Cricetulus griseus: one gene and its partners. The protein of the gene in region 2 interacts with the protein of the main gene of each other region in a biochemical or structural test. Links are inferred from orthologs where the notes say so. Each region holds a gene or a part of one and is shown on either strand. Other genes may lie near its edges.

What was found.
Region 1: the proteins of Esr1 (region 2) and Hdac4 form a complex in vitro, tested with the Homo sapiens proteins (2 studies listed by BioGRID). The link is inferred for Cricetulus griseus from reciprocal best matches to the Homo sapiens genes ESR1 and HDAC4.
Region 3: the proteins of Esr1 (region 2) and Grip1 form a complex in vitro, tested with the Homo sapiens proteins (2 studies listed by BioGRID and IntAct). The link is inferred for Cricetulus griseus from reciprocal best matches to the Homo sapiens genes ESR1 and GRIP1.
Region 4: the proteins of Esr1 (region 2) and Ncoa7 form a complex in vitro, tested with the Homo sapiens proteins (2 studies listed by BioGRID). The link is inferred for Cricetulus griseus from reciprocal best matches to the Homo sapiens genes ESR1 and NCOA7.

What each region holds. Positions count from the first base shown.
Region 1 is NC_048595.1:443,655,221-443,663,067, reverse strand, and holds the start of Hdac4 (histone deacetylase 4), read left to right. Parts: upstream 1-2,874; 5' UTR 2,875-2,889; coding exon 2,890-2,915; intron 2,916-6,249; exon of another isoform or gene 6,250-6,494; intron 6,495-7,847. UniProt on the Homo sapiens protein: Responsible for the deacetylation of lysine residues on the N-terminal part of the core histones (H2A, H2B, H3 and H4).
Region 2 is NC_048595.1:282,509,993-282,517,184, reverse strand, and holds part of Esr1 (estrogen receptor), read right to left. Parts: intron 2,809-7,192; coding exon 2,473-2,808; intron 1-2,472.
Region 3 is NW_023276806.1:137,036,745-137,044,490, forward strand, and holds the start of Grip1 (glutamate receptor-interacting protein 1), read right to left. Parts: upstream 4,974-7,746; coding exon 4,841-4,973; intron 1-4,840. UniProt on the Homo sapiens protein: May play a role as a localized scaffold for the assembly of a multiprotein signaling complex and as mediator of the trafficking of its binding partners at specific subcellular location in neurons.
Region 4 is NC_048595.1:249,089,674-249,097,654, reverse strand, and holds the start of Ncoa7 (nuclear receptor coactivator 7), read left to right. Parts: upstream 1-3,008; 5' UTR 3,009-3,325; intron 3,326-3,846; exon of another isoform or gene 3,847-3,978; intron 3,979-7,981. UniProt on the Homo sapiens protein: Enhances the transcriptional activities of several nuclear receptors. Involved in the coactivation of different nuclear receptors, such as ESR1, THRB, PPARG and RARA.

The sequences.
Region 1 (7,847 bases), about 160 Mb from region 2:
CTGGTTTTTACCTTGTCCTCACTAATACTTGGTGCTTCTTTGCATAGAAATTTTAGATATTTTGATGAGTTAGTCTCACCCTGTTGTAGCTTTAGTTTTCATCTTCCTGTTGTCACAGATGTGGACACCTGTTTGTGTGTCGATTGACTGCTCATAAACTCTTTGTGAGACACTTGCTCTTACCATTCACCCATTCTCCCCCTCCCCCCATAAACTGGGGGTTGTAAACTCTTCGTATTTGTATGGATCACTTGTGCGTTTTTGGGTGTCAGTCTCTTGTTGAGTGTTCTGTGGCAGGCTGCTTTTCCTGCTGTTTGGCTGTCTTCTCTATTTTCTGAGTCTGGATAAATTGAAATTTTTCTTTTTCCTTTTTCGCTTTATGGTCCAAGGAGATTTCTCTAACTATATGAAAATACTGGTTTTTGTGGTCTTTTGGACTGGGTCTGTAACCCATCTCCTGTTTTCATGATGGGTTGCTAGGAGGTCATGCATGACCCAAGCATTATATTCAGAAAGACTGAAACCTTGGGATTTAGGGTGGGCTCTTAACTATTAACAGATGACCTTGCGTGTATTGGTTTCATTCTAGAATATTATGTTCTTTTCTTGTTTTTAATAAATCAATATAATATAATTGAGAATGTAAGTCTTCCAGGTCCTTCGTGTTTCTTCGTAAAATACAATATTGACATGTCAATTTACAAAAATCACAATTTTAATTTTTCTTTTTTGAGACAGGGTTTCTCTGTGTAACAGTCTTGGAACTTGCTTTGTATGCCAGGTTGCTACCACCACCCAACTTAATTTTAATTTTTATTGTGATTGCATAGACTACCAATTAATTGGGAATGTCAGTGTCTGCGCCATTGTTAGGTCTTTAAATCCATATACATAGAATATTGTTTTATTTAAATCTTTGAATTTTGCTTATTATATACTGACAATTTCCAATAAAGCTTTACATTTTTTGATGTATTTAGCCCTTGATATTTGCTGATAATCTGATGGTATCATAAATGTTTTCTCAGAGTTATTTTCTTTTTGTCCCTGGTGTATAGAAACACTTAAGTATATTGCCCATCTTACTTTACAACCTTATGTTAATGTAGACATTTTAATAGTTCTTGGTTGATTGTTCTGGGTTTTCTGTGCATATGTATACTGTGTATAGATGATGATATCACCCTTCCAGTTCTTTTTCGTGTCATATTGCTCTGGTGAGGGTCTCAGGAGATGGCGTTGTTTGGCAGAGGTGAGTGTGACACCTGCTGTGTTGTGTAGATGATCTGCGTTTGTTACTCTGCAGTCTTGTCATTTCTTGCTTGATGGTGTCACTAACTGACTGCTGCTACTCCACCAGCCACAGAGTGTGGTAAGGGACAGAACATGCCCTCTCTGCTCACACCTCTTTTTGGAGCGTCATAAAGATTTTTAAAAGAAATCCTCTTAAAGATTTATAGCTTCTAAGACTTGCTCATTGGAAGGGCTTTTACATCATATGAAGTCAAGCCAACTAGGATTTCAGAATTTCCAAGTTGCAGGTGTGAGGAACCCAGGTAAACTAGCACACGAAGCCATCATGCTACTTATTCTGTATAGAGCCCGAGGAGAAATGCAGCAAGAGATGTCTTTGTAGAAGTTTGTACCCAGTCTCAGACTGCAGTTAACAGGATGGCCAAGGTACCCATAAATCAAAGTTACTTACCTTCTCTCTGGCTCTTACAGACAGATCTTTTCATTTGTGTGGTGCCTGGAGCACCCTGGGCCAGCGGGCCTATATGCTAACTGTCTTCTGACCTACCTTGGTCTGTTTTCCCATACCTGTGATGAATGGCTTGGTTCATCGGTCTGCTCATTTCTAGTCATCTTTAGTCTTCTACTTCTGTATCCAGATTTTTTTTTTTTTTTTTTTTTTTTTTTTTTTTTTTTTTTTTTTTGTCTTTCTCTTAGGATCATGGGCCCTGGCCCAGCCTGGCTCTGAAATAGTCTGCGGTAGCACTAGGGACTGTCTTTTGGCCAAGAAGGAACTCCAGAGGCTGGTGTGTGATTTAATGGAAGGCAGGATTTCCAGCTCTAGAGATAGCACTCAGCCATCTTGTGCTATCATAGCAGCCTGTTCCAGACCCTACTAAATTCTTCTCTGACCAGGACCCCATAGGCTCTGCCTCTCTCACATGGAAGGTGACATCTTCTGAAAACCTTTTTTCTGGTAGCAGAGCTCTGAGTAGATGGCACTGAAGCTGATTTTCATCATGCTTTTGGCAGTGCATTAACAAACAACAATAAAAACCCAAGCCAACAAACTCATAATAGATTGTAGCTGCACCTACCTGCAAAAATTTACAGTTAGTTTTTGTGCATTCAGTGTGTGGAGAAGGAGATGTGGATGAAGCAAGAATGGCAGAGTGTTCATAATGATTGAAGTTGGTGTCTTGGGTTTGTTGTACTATTTGCTTTGCGTTGTGTTTGCATCAGGTTCCATAACGTGAAACCTTCCCTTCAGCAAGAGAGACCTATGCAGAAACCACAAGAAACTTAAATTTAAAATTACCTTTATAGATATTTTTTCTACTAAACTTGTATTTTATTTATTTATTTGCTTGCTTGTTTGTTTACAGGGTCTCACTATGTAGCTCAGGCTGGCCTGGAACTGGCTATGCGGACCAGACTGGCCTCTAACTCGCAGAGATCTATCTCCCTCTGCCTCCTATGTGCTGGGATTAAAGGTGAACACCACTAAGATCAGCCCATGTTTTTATTTCTTAGTCATCACATATGGAGATGATAAACAGTTTAGACCCATCAGAATGGAGAAACCCCAAATGGAACATACACCCTGGCATCAAAGCCTCTTTCTGCAGAAGCACAGCCCACGTCCTGAAGTGATGCATGGGCAGCTCTGGAAGAGTGCCTGGGTAAGGTTGGGTGAGCCTTGGAAGACCGAGGACAGAAGCAGTGTTGAGTGCCCAGTGCTGTCTCCTCATGAGCTTGTTTGTCATGTGTAGGGCTTTTGAAACTACTTATGAGTGTATAAGAACATAACCAATATATTGTATATTGTAGAAGCCAGGTTTCTCACTGTTAGAGAAAGGTGTTAAAAGTGAGGAAAGGGTGACTAGCAGAAATCTTGCAGTGGTTAGTTAGCTTGGGACCTAAGGCGTCAGTACTGAGTTGATGTAAACAAATGCTTAACAGAAAAGATGGAAAACATCAGGAAAGCATGAGCAGCTGATTTAATGGAGCTCCAGTAGACAGAGTCAAGTGAATAAGCCAGAGAAAGTTGATAACATTGGATTATTAGCATACTGCAAAGAAGAAATTTTCATCTGTCTTCATTAATGCAAGTGACCAAATGCAAAGATAAGGACCCCTCAGCGTTGAATTTGAACTAACATGTATAAGAGAAGGAAGCCAAGTGCCACCATCAGGCAAACACCCCCCCCCCCCCATGGCAACAGTTGCAGATGGGCCCTCTTGATGTATCTGAGATCCAGAAGATACCCCCTGTTATGTGTCTGTCCTTCCAAATAATTGACATTTAGGTCTTTCAAGGCTCTTGTTGATTTTATGTAAGTCCTTGGCATAAAGTTGTCTATGATGCTATCTTTTGTCCTTTTACTGTTTAGTCTGTAGTTCATCCCCTCTTCTTGATAGCATTTCATCATCGACTGCCTAAAGCTTTGCAATCACATTGATTTACCCCTTTCTTTCTCTCTTTGTTCCTGTACTGTACACTGCTCACTGTATAGTACAGTCTTGAGTTTGCTGTCTTCCTTCCTCAGCCTCCTGAATGACTGGGTTACAGGTGTCCCCCACTTTGCTTGGCCTTCTTCTTTCTTTCCATTTTTTTTTCATGCAATTGATTTCTACTCTTTGCTGTTGTCTCTTTGTTGTTTCTTTGGAGTTTGGTTTGCTCTTGTCTAATTTCTTGAAGTAAAGACTGCCATCACTGAATCAAGAGTGTCTTTTCTAACATGGGGATTCAGTGCTGGACATTTCATATTTTGATATCTTGTGTTGCTGTTTTCATTCATTGCAAAGTGCCTTCCAATTCTTCATTTGTGAAGTGTTTTGTTGTTGTTCATTTATTTTCCTTTTTTGTTGTTGTTGTTTATTTTGAGACAGGGTTCCGTGTAGCCCAGGCTGGTCTCAGACTCTGTGTAGTTGAGGATGGCCTTGAACTGCTGATTCTCTTGCCTCTACTTTCCAAATGCTGGGATCACAGGTGTGTGGCGAACTGAAATGTATTATTTAGTTTGCAAATACTTTGGGTTAAAGATACTTTTCTGTTGTTACTGATTTTTAAATTAATTCCAGTTTAGTAAGATAAGTTTATTTTATGTGACTTGAGTCCTTTTAAACTTAATGGTACTTGTTTTAATGGGCCTAAAGGTGTTCTGTTTCAGTGCTTGCTCTGTGTGTTAAGAAGGTGCTTCCACTGCTTTTGTATAGTGAGTGTTGTGTAAATGTCACTGAGTCACCTTGAGGGCTGTGTGTGTGTGTGTGTGTGTGTGTGTGTGTGTGTGTGTGTGTGAGTGTGTATGTGTGTGTGTGTGAGTGAGTGAGTGTGTGTGTGGTGAGTGTGTGTGTGTTTTCTAGTATTCTGCTAGTTTTCTGCCTGCTTTTGTGACAGTTCCTAAGAATAAGCATTGAGATCCTAGCTGTAATGGTCGATGTGCCCATTTCCTTCATGCTTTTCTTAGTTTTGTTTCTAGTGTAAAGTGTGGTTTTCATTTACTCCTCAGCTTACTGATCCTTCTGCCATTAGGAACTGGGCCTCTGCATCCTATGTGATAACTTGAGCCTAAAGTTTATTTTGTCTGATGCTAATGTCTCCTTCACAGATTGCTCTTGGTTAATGTTTGTTAGTTACTTTTGTCATTGTTGTGACCAAATACTTGACAGCTACAAGGGAGGGGAGATTTATGTTGGTTTATGATTTCAAGAGGGTAGGGAGGGTGTGGCCGAGCAGAACAGGTCAGGTCATGGTGGGCTAGGAAGCAGAAAGATTGGCTGCTGGTGTTAGACTAGCTCTTCCAGTTCCCTCTTTCATTTTCTGGGTCCCTCAGTCTGTGGGATGGTGCTTCCTATATCACGGTGGCTCTTAGTGCTTCTAGAAAGGCCCTCACAGACACACAGAGGGGTTTTCATCTCTTGGGGGTTTTCTAAGTAGAGTCAGTTGGGCAGTGGTGCTTAACCTGCACGGTTTGTGTGATAGATCTTTTCCTATCTTTAGTTTATTTGTGACTTCATAGCCAAGTTCAGCTCTATGAAGGAATGTATTGTGTAGCTTTGTCATCATTGCCATTGTGTGAATATTACACAGGCTAAGGTGACCACATTGTCACATGATGATCCTTTCTAATGTGACCACCCTGTGTTTGCTATATGCAGTCTGTTGTTGACTTGAATGTCATGTGGCATGTGTCTGTATTGAAAATGTGTTCGTGTAGGTTGCACATTGCTGGGCCTCTGTTGCTTAGGGAACACTGATGTTATATAAAATGAGTGACCTTCTGTCTCTAGGCCATTTCCAGTCCTACCTCATGGTGGTTCTTTCTACTTGGTACAAAAAAATTACTGTTTTTTATTAATATGTCTGACAAGCTCTGTCCCTTAGTGGAGTGTCTGGACAATTTGAGAAGGTCGCAGATACAGGTGAGAGTGGGCTCAGTTGTCCTTGATTCCCAAACTCAAAAGCATTGTCTCTTTATCCTCCTGTTTAAATTGTTGTTACTGTTTTTAAATCTTAAATTTCTGCATTTATTAGACTTTTTTGTTAGGACTATTTACTGTCTTTTTTGAACTGTGGTAATGTTTTCATTATACATTTTTGTAGTGTATTAGTTATGAACCTCATTCTTCTTTTAAGCCCTGTTATTTCTAGTGTTCACTTTTGCCAAGTTTGAGTTCTCCCAGAACAAACATATTGTGTCACAACAAAAACTCTTGGGTTCTCTTACAAGGGGCTTCTCTCCATCAGTGGAGCTTAGAGAGCTTGCTGGAAGCCTTGGGTGGGAGCTGTAACCCTGGCAAGGTAGGCTTGGGTGGTGCTCTGGTCTTGAGATGCTATTCTTTGAGGAAAAACCACAGTCCCCATCTGGGGCCTGTCAACAAGGTGTCCAGACTATTTAAGAGCACACCTCAGAACATGATTCCTGTCTTGGAAGAAAGTTTTTTGGAAGATTGGCTAGACATGTCTCAAGAAATGAGGGTGCATGGGGTAAGGGGTGGGGTGGTCAGAAAGAGAATTAGGCCAAATGAAGGTTTGCAAGGGAAGTAGTGGAGAGCATTGTTTAAAGTTTACTTAAATGGCATCCTGACCACAATGAAGAAAGCCGATACTGTGGAAGATGTCAGCAGTCACGTGCAGAATGTACCAGAGAGGCCACCCCGCCTGGGAGTGCAGAATAAACAGCAGATGCGTCTGAGGCAGGAGGGGTGGATCTGTGGAGAGAGTCCAGCAGCAGTATACAATCTCTCAAGAAGCCAGAGTGAGTTGAATAAAAATAATCAAGGGTGACTGAGCATTTTCCAGAGCAGGAAGATGGAAATGTATTCAAAGGGTCTTGCTGTGAGCAAAACGAATCAAGAGACACTTATCGGTACACCGTCTGACAGTATTTTTCGGTTTCCAGACTAAAGAAAAAGACATGGTAGCATTTAGGCAGAAGAAAATGACATTAGCAATACCCAGCCCTAAAGGTTATGTAGACAGAACTCTGGGATAGCTGGCCTTAGGCTATTCCATGGTGCCAAGGGAACAGCATTACAGGATAGATGGTGTGGCCTGAGACTTTTATACCTAGCCAGGATGTGTGTGTGACTTTGTGTAAGATGGCTTCAAAGTTGCCAGAATAATGGGGTTTGCAGGATTGTGCCACCTGCCTCCCTTTAAAGAAGTGGTGTCCTGACTGAGAGGAGTAAAAGTTCTGAACCTATGGATAAAAGTCATGGTGCTATTGGGTGCATATCAGTTGTCATAAAGATAAGGGTTACATAGGTGTAGGTAATAGTGCAAAGCCGGAAACCACCTTGAATAGCCCACATTTGAAGACTGTCCTTGACATGATGAACTGATTAGTTGCAAGCAGCTGGGGAAAATCCTTGACTTGCTTAATAAAAGGATACATAGGCTGGACATGGTAGTGGATGCCTTTAATTCTAGCACTCAAGAGGCAGAGGCAGAGGCAGGACCAGCCAGCCTGGTCTAAATAGTGAGACAACTCTTTAAAAAAAAAAAAAGATTCATCACATTCTAAAAGAGAGAGATAGATACAGACAGATGTCTCAGTAGGTACTGGAGCCAGAGTCAGTCAGGTAGTCTTGGGTTGACATTCATTGGCTTGTCTCTGAAGTGACTGAGTTGTGAAAAGTCTGGTTGGGGAAGAATCTGTTAAATCCAGGGCTTTTGACAGTGCCCTAAAACTTGCAGTCTTCCCAAACCCTCCCAAGTGTTTATCAAGTGGTGTAGAGTGACCTGGGAAAGGGCATCTGGGGAGTAGGATGCGTTCTGGGCAGTGGGTCCTATGGGCAAAAGACTGAGAAAGAGAAGTATAGCACAAAGGGTCTGAGTTTGGATGTTACCTACCCCTGCCTCTTGGGAGTGCTTTTCAGGTGCTTTTCTGCATGGCCATGCATTCCTTCTAAACCTGGGAAAATGTAGTTATAAAGATGGGCACATGAGAGAGAACTTACGGAATTCGAACTAAATTTTATGGTAGCAACTATGTGCAGAAAATCTGGATGGCCGCTTATCAGTAGAAAGGCAAGGTGAGACAGTGGCATTTTCCCTGTGTACATCACAAAATGGTGTAGCTTGGAATATATCTGTATCAGCAGCAAGG
Region 2 (7,192 bases):
CTATACCCCTCCTTTTTCTCTTTCAAATTCATATCGCACCTCTCATTCCACACAATGGTTTCCTTGCTATTGTTCTTCCTGACGATGTTTCTCATTCTCTTTTTGAAATTACCATTATTATTCTCAAATTATCACCTCATAAATGTGACATTACCTATACCAGATCTTTACTTTAGACTATCTTTTTAAATGACACACAGTATTTAGGTATATAAAGCCATTGTGAAACACAACTTTCTTTGCAAACTTTCGCAGTCATCTTCAGAGTTCCTCCTGAAGGTCTTTGATATACTTTTTTTTCTCTCACTCTTTTTAAATCAATGACCATTATCATTCTGTTTCCTCGGATAAGTAGGCATTTGACTCATAGTAACTGCATTCCAGTGGCACACAGATACACACACACGTGCACACACACACACACACACACACACACACACACACACACACACACACACACACACAGCCTTGTGTCAGTCTCTTGATGACAGGGGCACATCAGAGAACTAGATCCCTGGGTGGATTTGTTATTTTCTATAAAGTAAACAGCCTGCCCTCCTTCTATTCTGTACAACATGCAGACCTACCATCATCCTAAGCAAAAAATGTTACATAGCACATGACTATACATATCTGCATTTGCTTTTAAAGTCCATTTTTATAAAAGGCCAGTCAACAAAATATAGTTTGACTATATTTTGGACCCTTGAATTAAGCACAAAGAAGTTTGAGAGTAGCCTTGCTAGGTATTTTATTACCATGCACATGTCTAGTTCTGAGTTTAACAATGGAACAGTTAAACCTGACCACAGTATCTTCCTAAGCTTGACTTTTGTCTCTATTTTAATCCTAAATTAAGGTTATTTTCACAAATCTTTCATCAATGGGTATTACATTTGAACTTCCTGAGGCTGGAACAGGAAAGCAAGTTGCAGGCCTGCCTGAGCTACACAGCAAGACCCTGACTTAAAACACCACCGCTAATAAAATACCACATGTTGAGAGGGGACTCTACAGATAAAAATGAATAATATATACTTGTTTTCAGCACTGCTGTGTGGATCTGGGACTACTATTGCTACACTCTCATAGGGGATATGTTTATAGATTAATAAAAATTTAACAGCAACCAAGATGGGCTCTCGGGGGTATGGTCATTAAATTTTTTGTGCATTTCATTTTTCTTTTCTCTCAAAGTGTGAAAATAAGACAAAACAGACATAAAGTTCAAGGAAAAACATGCATAATTCCAATCCTGAAGTGCTTGTGTCTATCTCACAAAACAATGATAGAATATCTAGGCATTCAATAAAACCTTCAGTTCCTTGGATGGCCAGGATATTTGCTTGCTTGTTAGTATTTTCCTCAAAACTTAAACTTTCTCTGTCAATCTTATTCATTCATATACTCTGATCTCTCCTACCCAATCCACTTAGATAGATGCCCTGTAGTAAGTTGGCTCATTGCATAGCTAGCTCCTTACTCAAAGCACAACTTGTTTTTACATGGATTTACACAAATACATGTAGGATTCTCAGATTCATGTTAACTCAGCCTATGTCAACAACTCTGGAAATGGAAGCCCAAAACTCCATATATATTTTAGTATTATAAAAAAGAAAAAAAAATCTCACGTGTCACAAAAAAATAACTTCATCTATTGAAGCCCAGGGAGAAAAAAAGCTCAATTTAAATCTCACATTGATTTGATCTATAAGCCATACAAGAGAGTCCACCTCTTTTTGCCTCAGCCTAGGCTTCTGTATACGAAATCCATTAGTTGGGGCATGGGAGAGGCTTGTTCCCATCATAACTAGAGTCCTTCTCCATAAAGGAGACCAGTCAAGAGCTTTAGAAACAGCACTTGAGAGACCAATAGGATGAACAGAGTGTCACTTCAGCCTCTGGATCTTTCTAGCAGCTCCTCAGGGCATTGCTTGTGTTTATTTTCCTATTGTATTTCCTTTTCTCTGAACATAGGATGCATAAAGCAAAATGAATAAATAATTGGCATTCCACAAATAAGCCTATTATTAGCCCTTTAGTGCACAACATCTGAAGAATAGATTATTTATGGGAAAAATTCTCCTCAATAGAGGCATTTTCAATGATAGTCTTAGAAATCAAAACAATTCCATAGATCACTGAGCATTAAGCACTTTTAAAATGTGATTTCTGCATGACAGACACATGTGTGCATGCAGTATGTAGTATCTATCCAACTCTTCTGAGCAGAGAAAACTGGCCAGAAATACTATGTCGAAGGCTTTATTGTTCTTGGTGTTGATTTTAAAGGCTACTCTCAAGTTTCAAGAGAAATACAGTGGGTTAACACTGACAATTGGCAAGCCCCGATGTAGCACTGACACCAACCACATCGCACGCTGTTATTTTCTCCCCTCCCCACACAGTATCACAGCCAGTTCTTGAGTCATTCACTCTTAAAACAGACGTTGAGTTTTGCGTTCTTACCTGGCACTCTCTTTGCCCAGTTGATCATATGAACCAACTCCCTGTCTGCCAGGTTGGTCAATAATCCCATCATCGAAGCTTCACTGAAAGGTCTAGAAGGATCATATTCAGAATAGATTAAGGGCGGTTCAGCATCCAACAAGGCACTGACCATTTGGTCAGCTGTCAAGGACAAGGCAGGGCTGTTCTTCTTAGTGTGCTTAATCACAAGAGGACTTGGCCAAAGGTTGGCGGCCCTCATGTCTCCTGAAGGCCCCATTTCGTTTCTGCCTTCCAAGTCATCTCTCTGGCGCTTGTGTTTCAGCATCCTCCCTCCTCTCCGGTCTTTTCGTATCCCTGAAAATGCAGAAGGATAAAAGAACAAATTCAATTACCCTTTTCTCCCGTCAACTTCAGTACAAACACCATCTTCAAAGATAATAGCCCTTTATTTTATTAAAATAAATACGGAAGGCTCATGCAAACTAGTGTTTAATAACTCTCACTCCAAATGGCAAAAGAGAACAGCACTGATTTGTGGCATTGATGATATTCATTTGATAAATAATGTCAGTGTAACAAATTTCAAGTCACTTGTCTGATATTTAGAGATACACAAACTCCTGAAAATATAACAATGTGATTTTATGAGCCAATAGTAGTTGTTTCTGACACACTAGTATTGTATGTGTGTGTGTTTATGTATATGTGTGTCATATATGTATGTATCTGTGTATGTGTGTATCTGTATGTATGTATATATATATGTGTGTATATGTGTTTTTGTGCATGTTTGTACGTGTGTATATGTGTGTATGTATACGTGTATAAGTGTTCATGTGTCTGTGTGTACAATAAATGCTATAAAAATAACAAAATTATAATAATTAGTTAGTTACTCATGAAATATAGCTTAATATCAAATACTGCATCTGTTGTAGACACTCTTTAATAGCAAATTGACAGTAATTTTAGTAGTGAAGGAGTAGAGCACCATGATGGAGTAAGACCTACCAATGACCGAATCCCAAGAGAAACACTGATTTAACAATCATCAACACACAAAAATTAACTCAAGCAGCAATAATGCAATCAGAAATGGCCAGCCAACCAAAGGAGATACTTCTCAAACAAAGACATAATGGTTAAAAGAAATAAGTATGCCAAATGTTCAGCATCATTTCCACAAAAGCTGGATTCCCACGAGTTAAGAGTGGTACTGGCACAGTTGCTGCAGAAATCCTGCCTCCGTGGACCAACATCATGGCACACCAGCAAAAGCCAGCATTTGGGGGCTAGCAGCCAGCCTACAGAGACCCAGGGGGTGGTTTTCTGTTTGTTTTTGATTCCCTCCTTTTGTTTGAAGTCAGCAAGAGGGACCATGTGAACTACTCCTTCCGGTAATAGCTCTGAAGTGTCTGTCACATTTAATACCAGTTGTTTAACACATGACTCTAGTTGAATGTAGAAGAGGGGGAAAAAGGGAGTGCTCACATTTTTAATCCACTCATTTAGAATCTGATGTCTTCTCTAGCAGTTCTGAGGTGTCCATAGCATTCTTTATTTTTGCTCTTCTGTGACCATGTTGGAGCCGGGTGAATAATTAGGCTTTTTTTTTTTTTAACACCTAGCAAGCAGTTACATGTTTTCTTTGGAATTTCTGGATAAGTTGGAGGAAACATTCTGCATGTTGTGTCTGGTGTACTTTTTCATCTCATTACACACTTCATTGTGTATCTCTGCCATCCTTAAATACAGAAATGGTTTTGTCTCCCGACTTTGACATTGTCACTATGTAGAATGTTTTCATTTGGGTTTGGAAATCCTTTGGGTCTAATTCTGTGAGCATACCTTAGCACTGGGTGATGATGTCTGCATCCTTTCTTTAGTTCCCCAGTAACCTTAAAGCTGTTGTAAAGTGTAAACCAGCCCATGACAGTTTTTGTACACGTTAAAGAACTTTATTGTTCAGTTTTCATGATGACTGTGTAAGGAAGACTGATACAGATGTCTGTCTCTCCTGGACCATGTCAATGACACTTGCTATGTATTTTGGTTCCACATCATGGTGATTTGTCCCCAATGACCTTTTGACCCTTTCCAGGCACATTTTTTATGTGTGTGTTGTTGCAGTTTCCCCCTTTGCATTGCATTGCTTTGACAACGGTAATTTGAATCAGATCTGAAAGAGGTCCAGAATAAAGTATATTTTGATCTTATGTTGGCTGTGTACATATGTAAAACATTTGATACCAAAAAAAAAATGTTCAGCATCACTAAAATGGGACAAACGCAAATCAAATCCATGAGAAGCCATCTCACTCCAGTTAGAATGACAAGTATAAAACAGACAAAAGACAAGAAACATTGATGAGAATATGGAGAAACTCAATGATAGGATGCCTTTGCCTGGTGGTAAGTCTACACTCGCTATAATAATAGTAGATAGTTTCCTTTTTAAAAAGTTGAAGAGCTGGAGAGATGACTCAGCATCTGAGAACACTTGCTGCTCTCACAGAGGACCAGGGTTTGGCTCAGAGACCTCCATTGTGGCTCATAGTTGCCTGTAACTCCAGTTTTAGGAGACCCAATGCCTTTTTTGACCTCCATGGTACCAGACATATATATGATGTACGGACATACATGCACACAAATCATCCATATGCATAATATAAATAATTCTTAAAAAATTTTTCTTTTTAAATTAAAAATATAGAACTACTATTTCACCCAGCAATTTCATTCCCAGCCATATGTCCAGAGAAAACCAACTCAATATGTTGAAGAGACATTCGTATGGCCATGTTTATTACAACATTGTTCACAGTACCCCAAGAAAGAGAGGCAATGCAAGTGTCCATAAACTGATGAATGAAAGAAGAAAATGTGGTACATATACACCACAGAAAACTGTTCAGCCATTAAAAAGAAGTGATATTCTGTCATTGGCAAAAAAAATTGGGTAGAGCTGAAAGATAGTATGTTAGGTGAACAGATACTCGTGTGTAATATAAAATAACCCTGTGAAGGGAGGTGGTGGGGAGGACTAGGAGGAAAGGAGGAAGGGAAAACTGCAGTTGGGATGTAAAACAAAAAATAAGTGAACAAATAAATAGCTGAATGGATAAATAAATAAATAAATAAATAAATAAATAAATGGATAAACAAAATAGCTGTCCAGACACTGAGAGCAGAATGCCTATCCTAAGAAGCCAGGAGGAATGAAAGTGAGAGAAGCTTAGAGTAAATTTGGCTAAGCTTCATTTTCAGTCACACAGGAGAAATAAATTCCAGTGTTATTTTGCAAAGTGCAGTGACCAGATAATGATAACCAATTGTGTATTACTAAAAAAAGCTTTAAAAAAAAGATAACCAGTAAAGAGAAATGATCAGTCTATGAGAAAATGGAGATGATTGCCCTGATGTGAATATTACACCATTTATTGAAATAGTGCATGGTTCTTGTCATGTATGTACAGTTTTCACTCACCAGACAACTTTGTGTGTGAGCATGTTGATGTTTCTGTGTGTGAACACATGTGTACATGGGCAAGTGCATGAGTGTGTATGTCCACATGGAGGCTTGAGGTCAATGTCAAGTGTGCCCAGTCATGCTCCACCTTAGTTTTCAAGTCAGACCTTCTCACTAGACCTAGAACTTATTCATTCACCTACCTTGGCTGGCAAGCAAACCCAAGGACCCTACTGTCTCCATCTCCCCAGGTCTAACCCAGGGACCCACCTGTTTCCATCTCTCAGTGCTAACCCAGAGACCCTGCTGTCTCCACCTCTCAGGGTTATCTCAGGGACCCTCCTGTCTCTGCCTCTCAGTGCTATGGTTACAGGTGTGCATAACATCACCTGGCTATTCCGTAGTGCTTAGGATCCCAACCTAACTCCCCATGTTTGCACAGAAAGCTCTTTATTTGAGATCTCCACAGCTCTTCAGCTAAGTTTGGAAGCCTTTGAGATTATTTTTATTAATTAAAAAAAAACATTTACCAGGATCTCAAGAAACGGCTCAGCTGTTAAGAGCACTGGCTGCCCTCTTGAAGAGGACTTAAATTTGGTTCCCTACTCCCACATGGCAGGTCACAACCGACCCTAACTCCAATTCTAGAGAGTATGGAACCCTCTTCTGGCTTCTGCAAACACCAGAAACATATGTGGTGCACATGCACATATACCTGCATTCCAACACACACACACACACACACACACACACACACACACACACACACACAGAGCACTAGTTAACTTTGTCACATAAATAGAGTTCTAGCTTGGAGATGCTACAGAATGCTGAACTACTACTTGAAATGCAGTGTGGTCCCATGTTCCCAAGGCAGCTCAGTCAAATTCTCGAGGCTGCTGAACTGTTGTATCAGGGACTGGCCCAAGTTTGTCAGTGTTCCTAGCTTTGGGTGAATTTTTCGCAAATGCATTTCTCTTTCTAAATATGAAATTTTTAAATCATTTCAAATAATCCTCTCCCAAAGGTTTACTCACCTGTGACTGTCACTAACTAAAGCCCCCAATGGAACAGGTGGCTTGATTTTTCTGCTGTGCATTCTTTGATCCTTGGACTCAGAGTCTCACCCAGAAAAAGCCATTCCATTCTGACCAAATGTTATTGGCAAAAATAACCATTTCAAAGGCCAGAGATGAACCCAAGCATCTATGTTTCTTTCAAACTTATCTCTCCAAAATTAGATAGTGCATTAGATATTAAGTTTTAGAT
Region 3 (7,746 bases), on a different chromosome or scaffold from region 2:
CCAGGGACTTCTTGAGTCAAACTAAGTACAGCTCAGGCTTGAATCATCCAGGATCTCACATCCAAGACCTGTCAGCTTGATGATCACTGTTTCTGCTACAGAAACAAATGGCTGCTGTGTGTCAGCACTGGGGAAGAAAAGAAGGCTAAGCCTCCCTTGACTCTTCCCTTCCCCACCCCCACACTTCTCCTCTTCATTCTTTCCCCAAAGGCCAAAGAAACCAAACACACTACATGTCAGCTTCAGAACATTTTACAGTAGGGGTTAACCACCTTTTCAAAGTATATGTCAAATTTCTCATTCTATCCTTCTGGCACATTTATCAAGAGACAGAATGCTAACTAGGTGACAGTCCTCCAGTGGAGAAAGAGAATTGTTACATGGATTTACAAAACAAATAGATAAATGAAAATTAAACACCCACATCACTGCCTAAAAATGCCCTCACTGTAAACACCCACCACCAAACTTGCTTTATGCCCTAAGAAGAATAATACCCAAAATGCTTAAATTTAGATAAAAGAAATACATTAAATATTGGGGGGGGGTGTTCAAGGCAGGGTTTCTCTGTGGCTTTGGGGGTTGCCCTGGAACTAGCTCTTGTAGTCCAGGCTGGTCTCAAACTCACAGAGATCTGCCTGCCTCTGCCTCCCAAGTGCTGGGTTTAAAGATAAGATCTGAATCAAATTGAAGCCTAAGTTGCCAGAGCAGGCCTTTTCAAACACATACATTGCTTACTAAAATAAGTCAGCTATGATGCTTTTATGCACCTGCATATACACACACACACACACACACACACACACACACACACACACACCACCTGAGAATTGCAGCTCAGCATAAGCAAATAAAAACAAACAACAAATAAAAATAATTTGTTAATACAAATGATCTTTCTTTGAAACTCTACCCAGTAGCTCTTCTCTTTCTCTAGATTCACTTTGAATGACCTCAGCAGAAAAGGTTAATGTCAATACACATTGCCAGGTACAGTTTTCACACACAGCTTAGCTCCAGAAGAGGTGCCTTAAGATGAGAACCCAGGAGAGTTGTTACCATGGAGGAACCCCGTGGCTAATTCAGTACCATGATGAACCTGCAGAAGGTGCCAGGGCTGTAGTTGGTAAGAGACAAACAGGTATCTCTCTTTCAATAGTTCAGCAAATAGATTGTGGCAAGTTAGGGCTGCTATAACAGCTAAGAACAGTCCAAAGACAATGACTAGATAACACATCTTGAATATTATCCACTGTGGAAAAAAAAAGTGTAACAATAGGATCAGACATTTAAATTTGTATGGCAGATAAAATAAGCATGGCCAGCCAGAGCCTTAAAAAAAATCTTACAATAATCCCATGGGGGGGGGCAGTGAGAATAATTAAACTGAATTTTAGGGTCTAACTCTAGTGGATTGTTACATTTAGATTTATGACAGTTTTGAAATCAACTCAGGTTTTTTTTTAGGGGAAACACTCAATGAATCATCTATGAAAGAATTTCAAGAGAAAATGTTCTTTGGTAGGTGCAATTAAACAGAAGACCTCTAAGAGTTAGCAATACATCGAGAACTCTGCTGGATTATCAAAACTTTCCCAAGTTCCTTAATAGTCAATGATAAATCATGATCTTAAATAAAAGACATACCCATTCCGACAGTTTCCAATCAAAATGAATTCAATAGCTAATTAGACAAGTCCTTCAAGATAGTCAAGTGGATTATTTGGTTTAAATAGCAGATAAAATCCTTTGTTTATTCTTTACCTAAAGTCATTGTGGTATCCATCAGTTCCTCTAGAGGCCAGAACAGAGATCCCAGGTGCTGGAGTCATGGCTGGATGCTGGAGCTGCCTGTCCCCTTCCCAACTACCACTGTCTTTTTCTTCTACATGAACTGATACAAAAATTAAAACATAAAATTATATTTTGTTCTTAGAAACATCCTTAGAAATAAAGATCCCTTGTGTCACATTTTATGAACTAAAACCCGTAAGTGTTTAGTGATTCGCTTAAGGCTCCTGTCTTGTTTGCCTCAACTCCAACTCTAGAATTATAAAAGTAATGATTAAGTGGGAAAGGCAGTTTTTAATAAAACATTTCATTCTGCCTCTTGCACACAGTTGCATACATTGATTCTAAATAATATGCAAGTGTTTTCCTTTAAAAAAAAAAAGTAAAAGAAGTCCATCATTGTTAAAACCCACTTCTGACAGGTTTGCAGAGAAATCACGCATTTCTGGAACTATCTTTATTCCACAGCATCTGACCCTGTTAACAACTTAATTCAGTCTTTAGCATTTAATACAATAACTGAGGAGCATCTAAAATAAAGGAAAAGATGATGAAACTCTCAGTTAGAACCCAGAAAGGAAGAAACATTACTTCGAATAAAACCAAGTAATTGGAACTCCTTAAAACTATGTAAGAGAGGAAAAGAATTGGGGGGAGGGCATATTTTCTGGAAAGCCCTTATTAGCTCTATCTTTCATTATCATATGATCATTTTCTTACAATATGAACTGATAGAAAATCTTCATGGCAGAGTTAAGTTTCACAAAAGGAAATAAAAACACTAGAGACCAAGACTGATGTTTAAAAAAAAATCAATGGCATCATTAAATAAGACATGACTATCATCAATAAATTCTACGATGCTCTCAGCCTTAACATAAATGGAGTTTCTCCCCATGTGATGCGATACATGGGGTATAGATTCCAAGTTATACCAAAGACTAATTAAACAGATACACAGCAGATGTAATTGAATTCAGCCGTACTACCCATTTGAGAAGATTGGCTTTAAGAGTCAGGTTTGCCTGGTACGATTTTCTATAGCAGTTAAATACAAGTGGAATCTCCTCTGTCCAATTCAGGGAGGCCCTGAAACTGGAACCAAAGATGCCCCAGGAGGTCACTGTGCTATGTCACATGCCTTCTGCAAAAGCTTGCGCTATTTAATATTTAATGAAATGCCAAACCCCAGATGTCAGTTCACTGTGACACATTATATTTAAAATGTAGCATTTTGAAGTTCAGGACCCACCAGCCAGCTAAGTCTACAAGTTTTCAACTGAATCGTATAAAGAAAGGGTGCTTCTGAAAAAAAAAAAAATCACTGGATGTAATTTTGATGTGGAAAGGCAAACACTCAGGCTGGTTAGTGTCGTAGCCTTAGAACGTCCTTGGTGACTCTGATAAGGCAGGGTTTCTGAGTTTTTCTCTGAACTTAATGGTAATAACTATTACACCTTCATTATACCATCTTCTTAGTCTATTCTTGGAAAGCACTTTGCCCTGCTGACATATCTTTTTTTTTTCATCGGCAAATTTATTTAAATTAAAAAAAAAACTCAGCAAAACAAGTAGAATGTAGGCATTTGAGAGATTTTGTTTGAGTCAATTTGAACACACATTCATCACAACAGAAATCACAGAGGGTGTGAATTAGACTCGGTGTGTATTGATTGCAAGAAAGTGTTCAAGGAATAGCAGTCCAAGCAATGCTCTTTAAACTCCCCCACCCCAGTCTCTACATTTCAGAATTACTCCTCATGCAAGCTGGCAGTATTTTTTTTAAATGTGCGCCACAAATGTTAGTTCAATTTGAGAATACATCAAGGAAGCTAAATTTAGGAAACATAGACTGTCACTACATTAGAATAGATTATTCAGGAAAAAAGAATTATAACTTGGAAATATCTCTGAAACTCAGAGAACACTCTGTAAAAACATTATAGCAATACCGTTCAGGCAAACACCAAAGAAATATAATTGGCATTATTGTGTTATTGTCACCACATGAGTTTTCAACTCTCAGCTTTCATCAATCACAGCAGGGTTTTTGTCATGTAGAAATAATTCCCATGGCTTTCAGTGCCAAAGAAATTTGGATCTAAATTATTTATTAGCCAATGCTCAAAAGGTATAAATGGAATACATTCATAGCTAGACTTCAAAAGGCCAGAAGGAAAAAAGAAACTGTGCTTCAGGTACAAGTTCATAAAGATTCTTGCTCAAGAAGATAAGAAATAATTTTTAATTTTTAAAATGTAGATCACACATAGCTTTCATCTCCCTCCCCTTCATTTGGGCACATAAGCTCAGTGCTCTTGGCAGGGAGATGTTTTCTCTCCTCGCCCTGAGGCAGTTCCTGGATTTTAAATCTATTGGGTCCTGTCTAAGCCTCACCAGGAACCCTGAGCACTGACAGGTACAAGAAACATTTTAGTTCTCTGCTATTTTAAAGTCAATTTACAAATGTCGCCATGTGGGTATTTTTTTTTAATTCTACAGGTATTGCTGCTGCTAGCTGACAGTAAATGAGACCCCTAACTTAATAACAAAATTATGAACATACATCAACTTCCTCCTACAAACAGCATGTTTCATCACAGGTAACTGTCCAGAAGTCGGAACTGTAGCATTAATCATGAACATCCACTCCAACATAAACAACTACTTTCAAACAAGCCAACCTTTTCTTTCTTGAAAGGATTAAAATATACAGGCACACACAAAAAATTATTGAAAAAAACAATGACAACAACAGAACATATTCTAACCACCTACGAGATAGAACGGCTCCTTCAAATAACAGAATCAATCAATTACATCTACAATATTAACCTCTGTATAGACCCGGGCTGGTAATACTGAGCAGATCGGACGTGGTGGCTATACTCACAACAAACCAAGTACAATGGAGCTAGCACTTCACACAACACCATCTGGTAAATCTTTTGCATCCAAGAGTAAAGAAGCATGCAAGGTTTACTGTCAGCCCCGGCAAGTGAGAAGGACCAGGAGGATGGAGGGGAGGAGGGTGTAGGAGAGCGCTTACTTCGAAAATGCTCAGAAGCATAGTAATACACATCCTCATAGCCCTCCTGGTAATCCTCTTCCGGGCGGTACTTTTTCCCCTTTCTTCTTCTAGACCTCCGAATCTGCTTGACGAATCCCAGGAAGCGGTCCATGACTGGCTCCCGGGGCAGAGCTGCGCAGCCAGCAGCAGAGCGGACAGCCCAGCTGCTCTGCAAGTCGGTGGAGCATGAATGACCCTCAGGAAGCCCTGCTACTGGGACACATTACCCTCCAGCCTTGCTCCCTGTGTCCATCAAAGCCAAGAGTTCAGCCGCAGCAGGGGAAAACATAACAGCGATAAGGGAGTACCTTGGTGAGACTTCTCATTTAGCCCAAGAAACTGTCAGATCTGCTATATTTTTTTTTAAAGGATGGGTGGGGCAGAGAAAGAAAGTGAGATAACAAAAGTAAGATAATACCAATTAAAAACAAACAGCGGAGCTGCGGGCTTCAACTTGCTTCCATACCAAACAAAAGTTCAAGATATTTCATTCAGCTGAAGCAAGAGGCGTCCGGGCACTAAAATGTCACTACCCAACACCTCCATCACCAGGGCGGGTGGGGAAGCTCGCTAGTCACTGGACTGAACCAAAGCTAGGGACAACCGGCTTTCCCCACCAGCAACCTACCCACTTCGATTAACATTCCTTTGCTCAGAGCACAGCTGGCACTTGGGAAACTTCCTAGAAAGCTACAGTTTGGGCAAAGAGAAGGCTGGTTAACTCTTTGGGCTCTTGGTAAGCCACACTAGTGATCTGCGAAGTGGTTTCATCCATATGTACAGCCCTCTTGCTGACTGAGTGTGCTGTATGTGTTAATTGGAGCAGCAGGGAGAAGCCTAGCAGCTGCTTTCAAAGGACACATTTACCCCACTGGGCATTAATGTATTCCAATCGCTGTTTGATCTAAATATTAAAATGTGCTTCTCAGAGCTTCTCACCAGCTTAGTAACAGTGCCCGCCCCACAATCAGCAAATAAAGGAAGCTGCATGGTTTTCAGAAAAGGGGAACACAAATGATTCAACTTTGAGTGCATGCAACTCAAGTATGACACAGGCTGAGCTGTCACACAGCTTAACAATAAAACAAGTGAGTGCAAAAGGGCAAGTGAACCTGAATTCTTAAAGGGAGAAATGTTCTTAAGTGTGTCTATGCCTTGTTTACACTTATCTTTAAAAATCACAAACAACTTTATAAAAACAACAACAAAACCCAAAAAACCTATCAAAAATACTTGAGGCTAAAGGGCAGAAGTCCCTTAGAGACTACATGGGTAAGCACTGATCCTATGTAATCCTCCCCTCTCTAGGCTCTTTCTTCACAAAATCTCCACATGGATGGGGATTTTGAACACCAGGAACAAGCTCTTACTTCACAGTCTTTCATTATGCACGCCAGCATATTACCTAGCAAACTAATGATATTCCACAGACCCTTGTTCCCAGAAATGTAATTTAAAGAAACGTGTCTGACTGAATAATGGTTGTTCAATAACAATATCATAACAAGTTTGCACAACCATCCCAGGGGGTACTGGCTGTACTCACACTACCTGTTGTTAGGTTCAAGAGCAATCTGTCTCTCTCTTCTACAATGAGGCAGGACTGTTTTCAGATAGAGACTGCTCATGATGAAATAGGGACAATTTTATTTAGGAAGTCAAATATTTACCAACCCAGAACATTTTGGCACCGAAGTATGTAGAGTTACATTCAATATTTCCATGCAATTCTCCTGTACTTAGAGGTTTCTCATTTTGTATGCTGGAGGGGAGGGGGATTGTGGCAAGAAATACAAACTTAATGATGCTGAGAAAAAGATACTATAGTTTCTTCAACATCTTTAGACAACAACAAAAACCACTGTTCTTAGGTTCTGAATCCTTTCATTATTATTCTGGCTTCCTCAACCAAAACAAACCAGAACAATTAAAAATAATTAAGCAGAAGCTTGAAGATCTGGAGCCTAGACTTTGAATAACAGCTCAGTAACAACAGCACATGGCCTCTTAAATCAGCCAAAGACCAGGTATACAAGGGTGCTTAGCTCACCATGGAAAGGAACAAAAGGTTCAAATCCATTTCCGTGCCCCAGATTAACAACTGGATACTGTTGGGACAGGGAATAGAACACATTTTTTGCTACTAATTTAGAGATTATCATGCCTAAGAGTCAATTGGAAAAAAAAGAAGTCTTTTCTATGTAATTGTTCTTGAAACAGATGTTTGTTTTTTGTTTTTGTCAACTTGACATAAACTAAAGTCATCTTAAGGAACCTCAATTGAGCAAAAGCCTCAATTAAATCAGACTGCAGGCAAGTCTGGGGGGTGCATTTTCTTAACTAGTGACTGACGTGGGAGGGCCCAACCTATTGTGGACTATCTATCCCTGGGATGGTGGTCTTGGGTGCTATAAGAAAGCACGCTGAACAATCCATGAGGAGGAAGCCAATAAGCAGCACTCCTCCATGGACTCTACATCAGGTCCTGCCTCCACCTTCCTGCCCTGTTTGAGTTTCCATCTTGACTTCCTTTAGTGATCAACAGTCCGAGGAAGTATAAGCTAAACAAACCCTTTCCTCCCCACCTGGCTTTTTATTCATGGTGTTTCATCACTGCAATAGAAATACAATAAGACACAGAGTTTGAAGATTTGGATGCTGATTTTTTTCTTTCTTAATTGAACCAAGCAAATACCCTCATTGACTAATTTGGTAAGTGCACGTACGTGTTCCCCAGAAACAGCGCAGTTACACATTTTATTCTATCTTAAGATAACTACACAGTATCTTAAGTGCATGCTGTGGATTTGTTGTTAAAAGTTTCCCTTCAATCCAGGAATACTGACACACTTGTCAGATGAGGAAGCGATATTTAGTACTGAAGA
Region 4 (7,981 bases), about 33 Mb from region 2:
AGTCTATTGGGTAGACCAATGATCCCAGCTTGTGAAAATGAGCTGCTGCCTTCAACCCTGCTAATTCTGTTTTCTTTGACCTCTTTAGAAGAAGAGGACCACCTACAGATGTTCACAGTTGTCATTGATGTCACTTACAGCCTGTGTCAACCAGCTCAAGTCCAGGGTGAGAGCACATGTAAGCATGCATCTCTCCCTGAGCTAGATATAGGAGGATAGTTCTAAATCCTATCACTCCAAGAGAGAGCTTTCTTGGTGGCAGTAACCTCAGCTTTTCATCCAGTGCATGAATTTCAGCTCAAACACCTTTGCACAGAAATATAGATCCATGTCAACATTTCAGTGAGCCTATCTGAGCCTAATTAATTTCTCATTCATTTGTGGTATTCGTGCCTGTCTGTCTGTAGGGCAGAACAAGTGAAGTGACTCCCTCCTCCCTCCTCCCTTTTAGGCTCAAAGAGCTCCCTGATCCTCTATTTACTTAAAAGTCTCAATATATAAAGATTATTGGTCACAGAAAAAGGGACATGACAAGTGCACTTAAATTGCTGCACTGTCACTTCTCCCATTTATCAGAGAAAGAAGAGGCAGTCTTTATATTTATCCCAGGCTCTTGCCCCCGCACACAGTTCATCACTTTCCAAGCACTTTCTGCTAGCCAGATACAATGAGAGGCACTATGGAGACCAGTGTATTTTAATTAATAAATTAAATTTTACTAATTAATTAACCTTATTAATTAGAGATAGGATTTTATTATGCATAGTAGGCTTGCCTAGAGCTGACAACCCCCCCCCCCGGCCTCTACCTCCTTAAATTTTGGGTTTACAGAAATTGGCCACAGTGTCCAGTCTGGGGATACAGGGTTTGAAAAGAAAACCTTTATTACAGTAACACATGCTTGCTCCAGTGACAGCTGATGTGTGTTGATTACATAACTCCACGTACCCTTCATGGTGATCCCATTCCTTATATTTACCCTATGACTATGTTGCTCTGACCATCCCCTCTTTGGAGACAAAAGCACCAGAGTTAATCATTTGTCCAAGGCCAGCACATGTCGAAGCTGTAGTCCAAAGGCTAACTGTGCATTCTTTAGGATTCTCATGGTCTTCACTATATATTCTAATGGTATTTGATCTAGGGGTACTCAGATTACCTCAATCCTTTTATGCAACTCTTATCTACCAATTGAAATTTGACAAGAATTCCAGAAGAATTTCCTATAATAAGGAATTTCCTATAATGCTGTGGCCTGTGCTATCCAAACAGCAACCACAAGCTTTAGTTGGATGCTTAGAACTTGAAGTATGACATATAGACGGAACAATCATAACTTAACTGTATTTGATTAAATTTAAATGACCACACAGGGCTGCCGGGTACCACGCTGGATAACACAGATGAAGAGAATCTTAATTTTAATTTCTCTGTGAAGACAAGACTCAGATGAATCAGTCAATGCCTGGTAATGAAAAAGAATGATGAATAATCTTTAAATTAGGAGCGGCCCCCCAACCATGGAAGATGGAACTCCTTGCTCTATTCAGACATCCACTGTAGTGACAAACTATAGTTAGCATGTGAGACTTCATGTAATCCCAGAGGAGCTAGTGAAGATAGTAACATTATCTGCCATGCTTTTGAAAGGCTGAGGAACACTTCTTCAGCAATAGTCACCACTTCAAACACACACTCAGTTATACCTTTGCCTAAGAGAAAAGAAATCAAGGCTTACTTTATTCCTCTACAAAGCTAAGAGTTCATGGACACAAAAGGGGTTAAAAGAGGGGAAACAGTACCTGGAGCTCAGTGAAGATTTTCTGCAGAAACTGCACTCAAGATTTGGACACTTTGTTAAGCAAACTGCAAGTACTTCTTCCAAGTGATTTCCCGAACTTTCTCTAACATCACTATGCATGTCTTCATCCCTGCAGTGGGGTCATTCTGAATTGGGGCAAAATAGCAGAACCATTATATCTATCACTTATGTGGGGCTTTAGATTCATCAGCCATTCTCAGAACAGGGTTGAATCATGTGACCCCTGCCCACCCAGGACAATACAGCTCAGACACTGCCCTGTTCCACTCTGACCTCCAAGATGCTAACTCTCCCCTCCCCAAATCTCAGCTATCTTATAACAACTTGGACTTGACATGATGTTTTTCCTTTCTTTTTAAATTTATATTTTGCTTTTGGAAACATATAGCCTAGGTTAGTAGCTGAGGTTGGCCTTGAATTCTGTATTTTCCTAACTCAGCCCCCCCCCAAGAGCTGGGATTACAGGACTATGCCACCTCTCTCTCTCTCTCTCTCTCTCTCTCTCTTTCTGTGTGTGTGTGTGTGTGTGTGTGTGTGTGTGTGTGTGCGTTTTCTTGGATTTTTAAAAATTAAGCTTAGATTTCAAAACCATAATAGCACATATCAAAGAATTGTGAGACCACTACCAAACTTCTGGAGACCTCAAGCCATGCTTTTCTTTTGATCCACGCAGAAGCATCTCTATATTTTAGGAATCCATTTTTCTCCTGCTAAAGGCTAAGTCATTTTACCAATAAGGTGACTAAAGGAAAAGGAGAGGTCTCTCCTACTCAGACCATAATGATGTAAACCCGAAGTCATAATCTCCTGATGGTCAGTGCAAACCAGGAGATGATTCCATATTTGCAAGACAATCTAACATCACTGCAGCTGAAATCCTAAAGTCACTATGGTTCAGTGCTTTGCTCCGCTCTCAGGACTAGAAGCACCAAGAAGCAGCAGCGGCAACCTGGGGAGGCCGCTATGTACTGTGTGGATGGCTTCGGACACACCAATCTTATCATACCAGCTGCAGCTTTTTTTTTTTTTTTTTCTTCCTGTATTTAAGAGTGATCTTCACAGTCAGATCCTCCGAGTCATCTTGCGGTGCTCGTCACGGGACTGTAAAGGGAGCGGCATCCAATACCAGGGAGGGATCTCACAGGCACAGCTCCCTGGGCTGATGCAAAAACCTTCCTAACGAGCTTCTTCTCTCCAGTCTCAGCCAAGAGCTGGCTGGACCGCCCAATTGCTACATTGCTTTGGCTATAATGATTGCAATTTGGCAGCTTACAGGATGTTGAACCGGGGACCGGAGAGGGAGAAGATAGTAGGCCCGGTTGCCAAAGGCAATGCCGGAAAAGACAGAAGGATGAATTTATGGTGGCCCGTGGTCCTAGAGCTGGAAGGGAAAGTAAAGGGATTTTAAGACTCCAGCAGGTGCTCTAACTCCTGCTGTACCCCTAAGCTTCATTTCCCTCCAAGATCCAGACCGTAGCTAGAGGGGATGCGATTAGGGGCCAGGTAAGCAGACGGTTCCCGGTACACATATGGCCTGATGGTCGCCCCGGGCAGCGTCACAAAGGGCCCAGGCCTGCGGAGGCCGCGCGCGCAGCTCTCCGGGGCGGAGCCGCCGGGCCGGGTGCTGGGGAACCCGCGCCACTTCGGACTGTTCCGCCTGCCGCCCCGAGGTCACACCGGGCAGGCAAGATGCCGTGGCTGCAGCCCGAACCGCTTAGCCTGGCCGCGGAGCTCTCGGGCCCCCGCCTCAGCGGACGAGCGCAGCGCGCGCCCCGAGTCGGGCGGAGCTAGAGGCGGGCGCCGGGCGGGCGTCGCGCCACCGCAGCTCCCCGCCTTCCGCCCGGAGCGCGGCCGGTGCCTGACGGTGGGCGCCGCTGCAGGCACCTGGGCGAGGCCTCGAGCATCCCGGCGGTGGCAGCTCCGGGCAGATCCGGGACTTGGGGACCCCGCAGGAGCGCACCCCGCCGCTCCTGTCGCCTCCCTTGGCTCCTCCTCGGCACACGATTCCGCCCCCCCCCCCGCTCCCCACCGCCGTCCCCTCCCCTCCTCCCACCCCGGAGGATGCGCTCCCCGCGCCCAGCAGCAGAGGCCACCGCTCCCAGAAATGCGTGCGCCCGAGCCACTTCGCCCCGAGCCGCGGAGCCCCCGCCCAGTAGGTAGGTGGCCGAGGCGGGGCCCGGCCTTGGAGGCCACCCGCTGCTGATGCTGCGGCCAAGGAGAACCGGCACCGCCACCGGCAGCCCCAAACTTGCCTCCCTCCTGGGCTGCCAGCACACCGAGGTGTGCTAATGGCGTTGAGCGCAGCCCCCGGGAGACCTGAAACGCTTTGCTGGAACAGTCGAGACCGAGCTGGGGCGCAGGGGCGCAGGGGCGCTGGACCCTTCCCGCCAACATTCTGGGGACCCTCGGGGTAGGGCGTGGGGGTGCTTGGAAGGACAGGTTGGCGCGCGGCTTCCTTGGGGAGGAGGCCGTTGCCTTTTTACTAGCTGGAGTAGACTATGTCATTGCATTTTTTAAAAAGCGGGATCAGCTAATTTGTTCCTCCTATCTCTTTTGCTAAAATGTAGACGAGCAACGGTGTTGTTTTAGAGGTATTTAGGAGTGGTTGTGGATATTTGTGTATTTTACAGCTCGTCATGTGGTATATAAAATCAGTGGTGCAAACACTTTATTTTGGATGCCAGTTTAAGGAAGGTTCTTCTAGAAGTCAGATCACTCAGGTGATGGATGAGGCCAGTGTGTTCTGTTAGGATAAACCAGACGGGAGCCGATGGGTTTGAGAGCTCAAGTTTGATACAGGTGTGGGGAGCTGAGACTCTGAAAGATGCGCTTGTCAACCAGCAGAGGCAGTCTTGCCGCCAGCCTCGCTTCCAACTCAGAGCTGACCTTTGCCTTTCTGAAAACTGGTTCAGTCTTTGACCCCCTTCTGTTCTAGAAGTAAAATTCCTACATTAGGGCTTTTAGTATGTTTGTTTCCTCTTAGGCTGCCGTTTTTCATTTTACACTAAATAAAAGGTTTAGAATTTTGGGAAAATGGATCATTGTAAACTCCAATTGTACAGCCAGGATTTCAGACTAGAGATTTTGGTGAACTGAATTAATATAAATAGTAAGGAGACAGAATCTTCTTTTTCCCCCCATTCTGTAATTCCCCTCCTTTGGATGCCTAATAGCTGTTGGTTATTTGTTATTTCTTTCTATAAACAGGCAAACTCTGTTATTTTTCATTGACATTTGTGGCTTTAGCAGCAAGGAAGGCATTTGTTCTTCTTTTAGGTTCACTTTGTGCCCATTTTCCAGTATTATGGCAATCAATTCTCTTTCAGTTATACTTTCAAAAACAATTTAGAAAGCAGAATTCATGTTTAAAGAAAATTCTTAAGTCAATTCCAAAAGGAGTAGTGATCTGGTTAATAAGTAACAACTTGTTTTAAGGTTCAGCTATGGTTCATTTTTAATGTTTTTATTAAAACTAAAGTGAAAACAAAACATTTAAGAGTCTATGGTTGCAAAGTGACCTCACTCATATTATATACATAAAGATTTGATTTTTTTCTTCTTGTGATGCCAGGTACCAGATCCAAGATCAGGCCCATGGCTTCAGTGTGTTAGGCTGGTCCTGTTTGAGCTGCATCCTCAGCCCTAGAAGAACATTTTAGCTATTTTCCTCTATAAGATGAGATGTTTGGAAGATCCAGTGCCTTTTCTGCTTAAAATGTTATTTTAGTAGAAAAAAATAAAGAAAAAAATAACAGAAAGGACCAAAATGGACATAGGGACAAGTCTATTACCTTCCATTTCCTTTACTTACACTCTATGAAAGTATTGATATGTCTTTGTTTTTCTGTCACATAGATCCACTGAGTCATTCTCCTTAGCACATTTATCTGACAGGGAATACCTCCTAATTTTCATGCATCTTCTTCCTCACTACCCAGAATATTTCCCAGAATCCTGATTTTCACACAACATGCTAAAGCATAATATATTACTGTTTCTTCTCTAATCTAGTCAGATTGTTTCAAATGTGTGAAGGAAAACTTTTAGATAAAAGGTATGAGAACTGAGGAAATCATGGGAAGAGAACTTGTGGATATAAGTTGTTATAATTTATGAAAACAAAGCAGTTGCCATACCAATTAATATAAAGCCATTTTTAGAGTCTTATTTATAATCAAGGATATTGAGCAATTCATTTGCATTGTTTTTCCTTGCTCACCTTCTACTTTGTAAAAGAACCTGTGGTTAAAATACACCTTTTGCTTCTTTTAAAATTATTGATTTATATTTGTAGGGGGTGGGCATCTTGCCTGCAGTTGTGTCTGTGCACCATGTGCATGCAGTACCTGCAGAGGGCAGAAGAGGGCGTCAGGTCTCCTGAGACTGGAGTTAAGGTGGTGAGCCACCATGTAGGTGTTGGGAATCAAACCCAGATCCTAAGCCACTGCTGTTGCTACCTACCCCCGCCCCAACCATCTCATGTTTTAACTTCTGGACAGTTAGTTATTTTGTTCCGTCAACAAGTAGAACTTGAACATTTTCATAATGTTCTATAACTTTATGCAAGAGCTTTTTCTTCATTGCAGAAGGAATTTTTTTTTTCTCTTATGTCCTGCATGCAAATGTGGTATCTCTACAATGTGATGACTCACATGTTGGTTCTTGCCTCAAGCGCCAGCTACAACCCTGCCTCCCTGCCAGCAATGCAATTCTAAGTCTGGATTTCTTTTCTTCTTCTTCTTCTTCTTCTTCTTCTTCTTCTTCTTCTTCTTCTTCTTCTTCTTCTTCTTCTTTTTGTAACCTTTCTGTATCTTTCTCCTGCTGTCATTTCATTTGTTTGGTTTGTTTTTTGTTTGTTTGTTTGTTTTGTTTTGTTTCAAGACAGGGTTTCTCTGTAAAACCGCCTTGAGTGTCCTAGAGCTCTCTTTGTAGACCAGGCTGACTTGGAACTCACAGAGATCCGCCTCCCTCTACCTCCCGAGTGCTGGGATTAAAGGTGTGTGCCACAATTCCAGGCTCCTGCTATCATTTTAGAAACCTGTCTGTCCTTTGTTAAATGTGTATTTCTTAAATCTTACCCCCAATTTTCTTTTTAAATTAAACAGAATGCTCTCAATTCACATACACTACAATCAAAATAGCTAGGATTGTGGGGCGACTCTACAGAGGTAAATTTGTGTAATCTTTAATCTCAGATAACGGGGAATGAAGGGTGAAGAAGAGTATTGTATCTGTCCCCCTCACGAGGTGCATGACATGAGATTGTTTCTGCACACGTGAGAGGGTGCAGATTGTCTTTAAAATGGATAAGATTGGCCAGTCAGTGGTGGCACATGCCTTTTATCTCAGCTCTCAGGAGACAGAGGTTCGGGGCCAGCCTGGTCTGCAGAGCAAGTACTAGGCCAGGCAGGGCTACACAGAGAAACCCTGTCTCTGTGAAAAGACAAAAACAAGAAAGATAAGATTAATTGATAGAAACTGTTGCTAGAGGTTCAGTTGAACAAAGGCCTTGCTATCTGTATAGTCTTCCTTTTATCCAGACCAGGAGTCTAGCTAGAGCTTTCCAAATTGTGGGTCTTGGTTTCTTCGTTCAGCATGCTTCATAACCCCTCCATTGTGTGCACTGTGAAGGATTCACTGAGCAGACCATGGGAAAGAAACTGTTGTTAGTTAGATCACTTCATAGACGGGATTTGGGGAAGGGTCCCTGCTACAGCTCCTGTTTAAAGTCTATGCAAGAAATTCCATTGAGCTCTAGGTGCCAAAGTCAAGCCACCCCCACCCCCCACCCCCCACCCCCGCCTTGAACAATGAATACATGTGACTTTATTCCTGTTATGCAAAGAGAGAACCAGATGTTTGCCTTTCTATCTAGGTGACTGAGGAATTCCAGTCAGATTTTCAACTCAAATCCTAGTAACCATGTGAAAAAACATATTATTAGTATTAGTGTTCTTACTCCCCCTTTTACCTTTTAGCTTCTGTTTTACCCCATTTCTCTTGATTCTGATTATTATCTAATTATAATTCTCATATTTCATTGAATTACATTATTTTAGATGACTCATCCTTAATGGAACAAGAAAAAATACAAAATATGAAACCAAATGAATGAAGGAATCACAGAGTTGACCTCTGGACACACAGTGTTTCTGATGA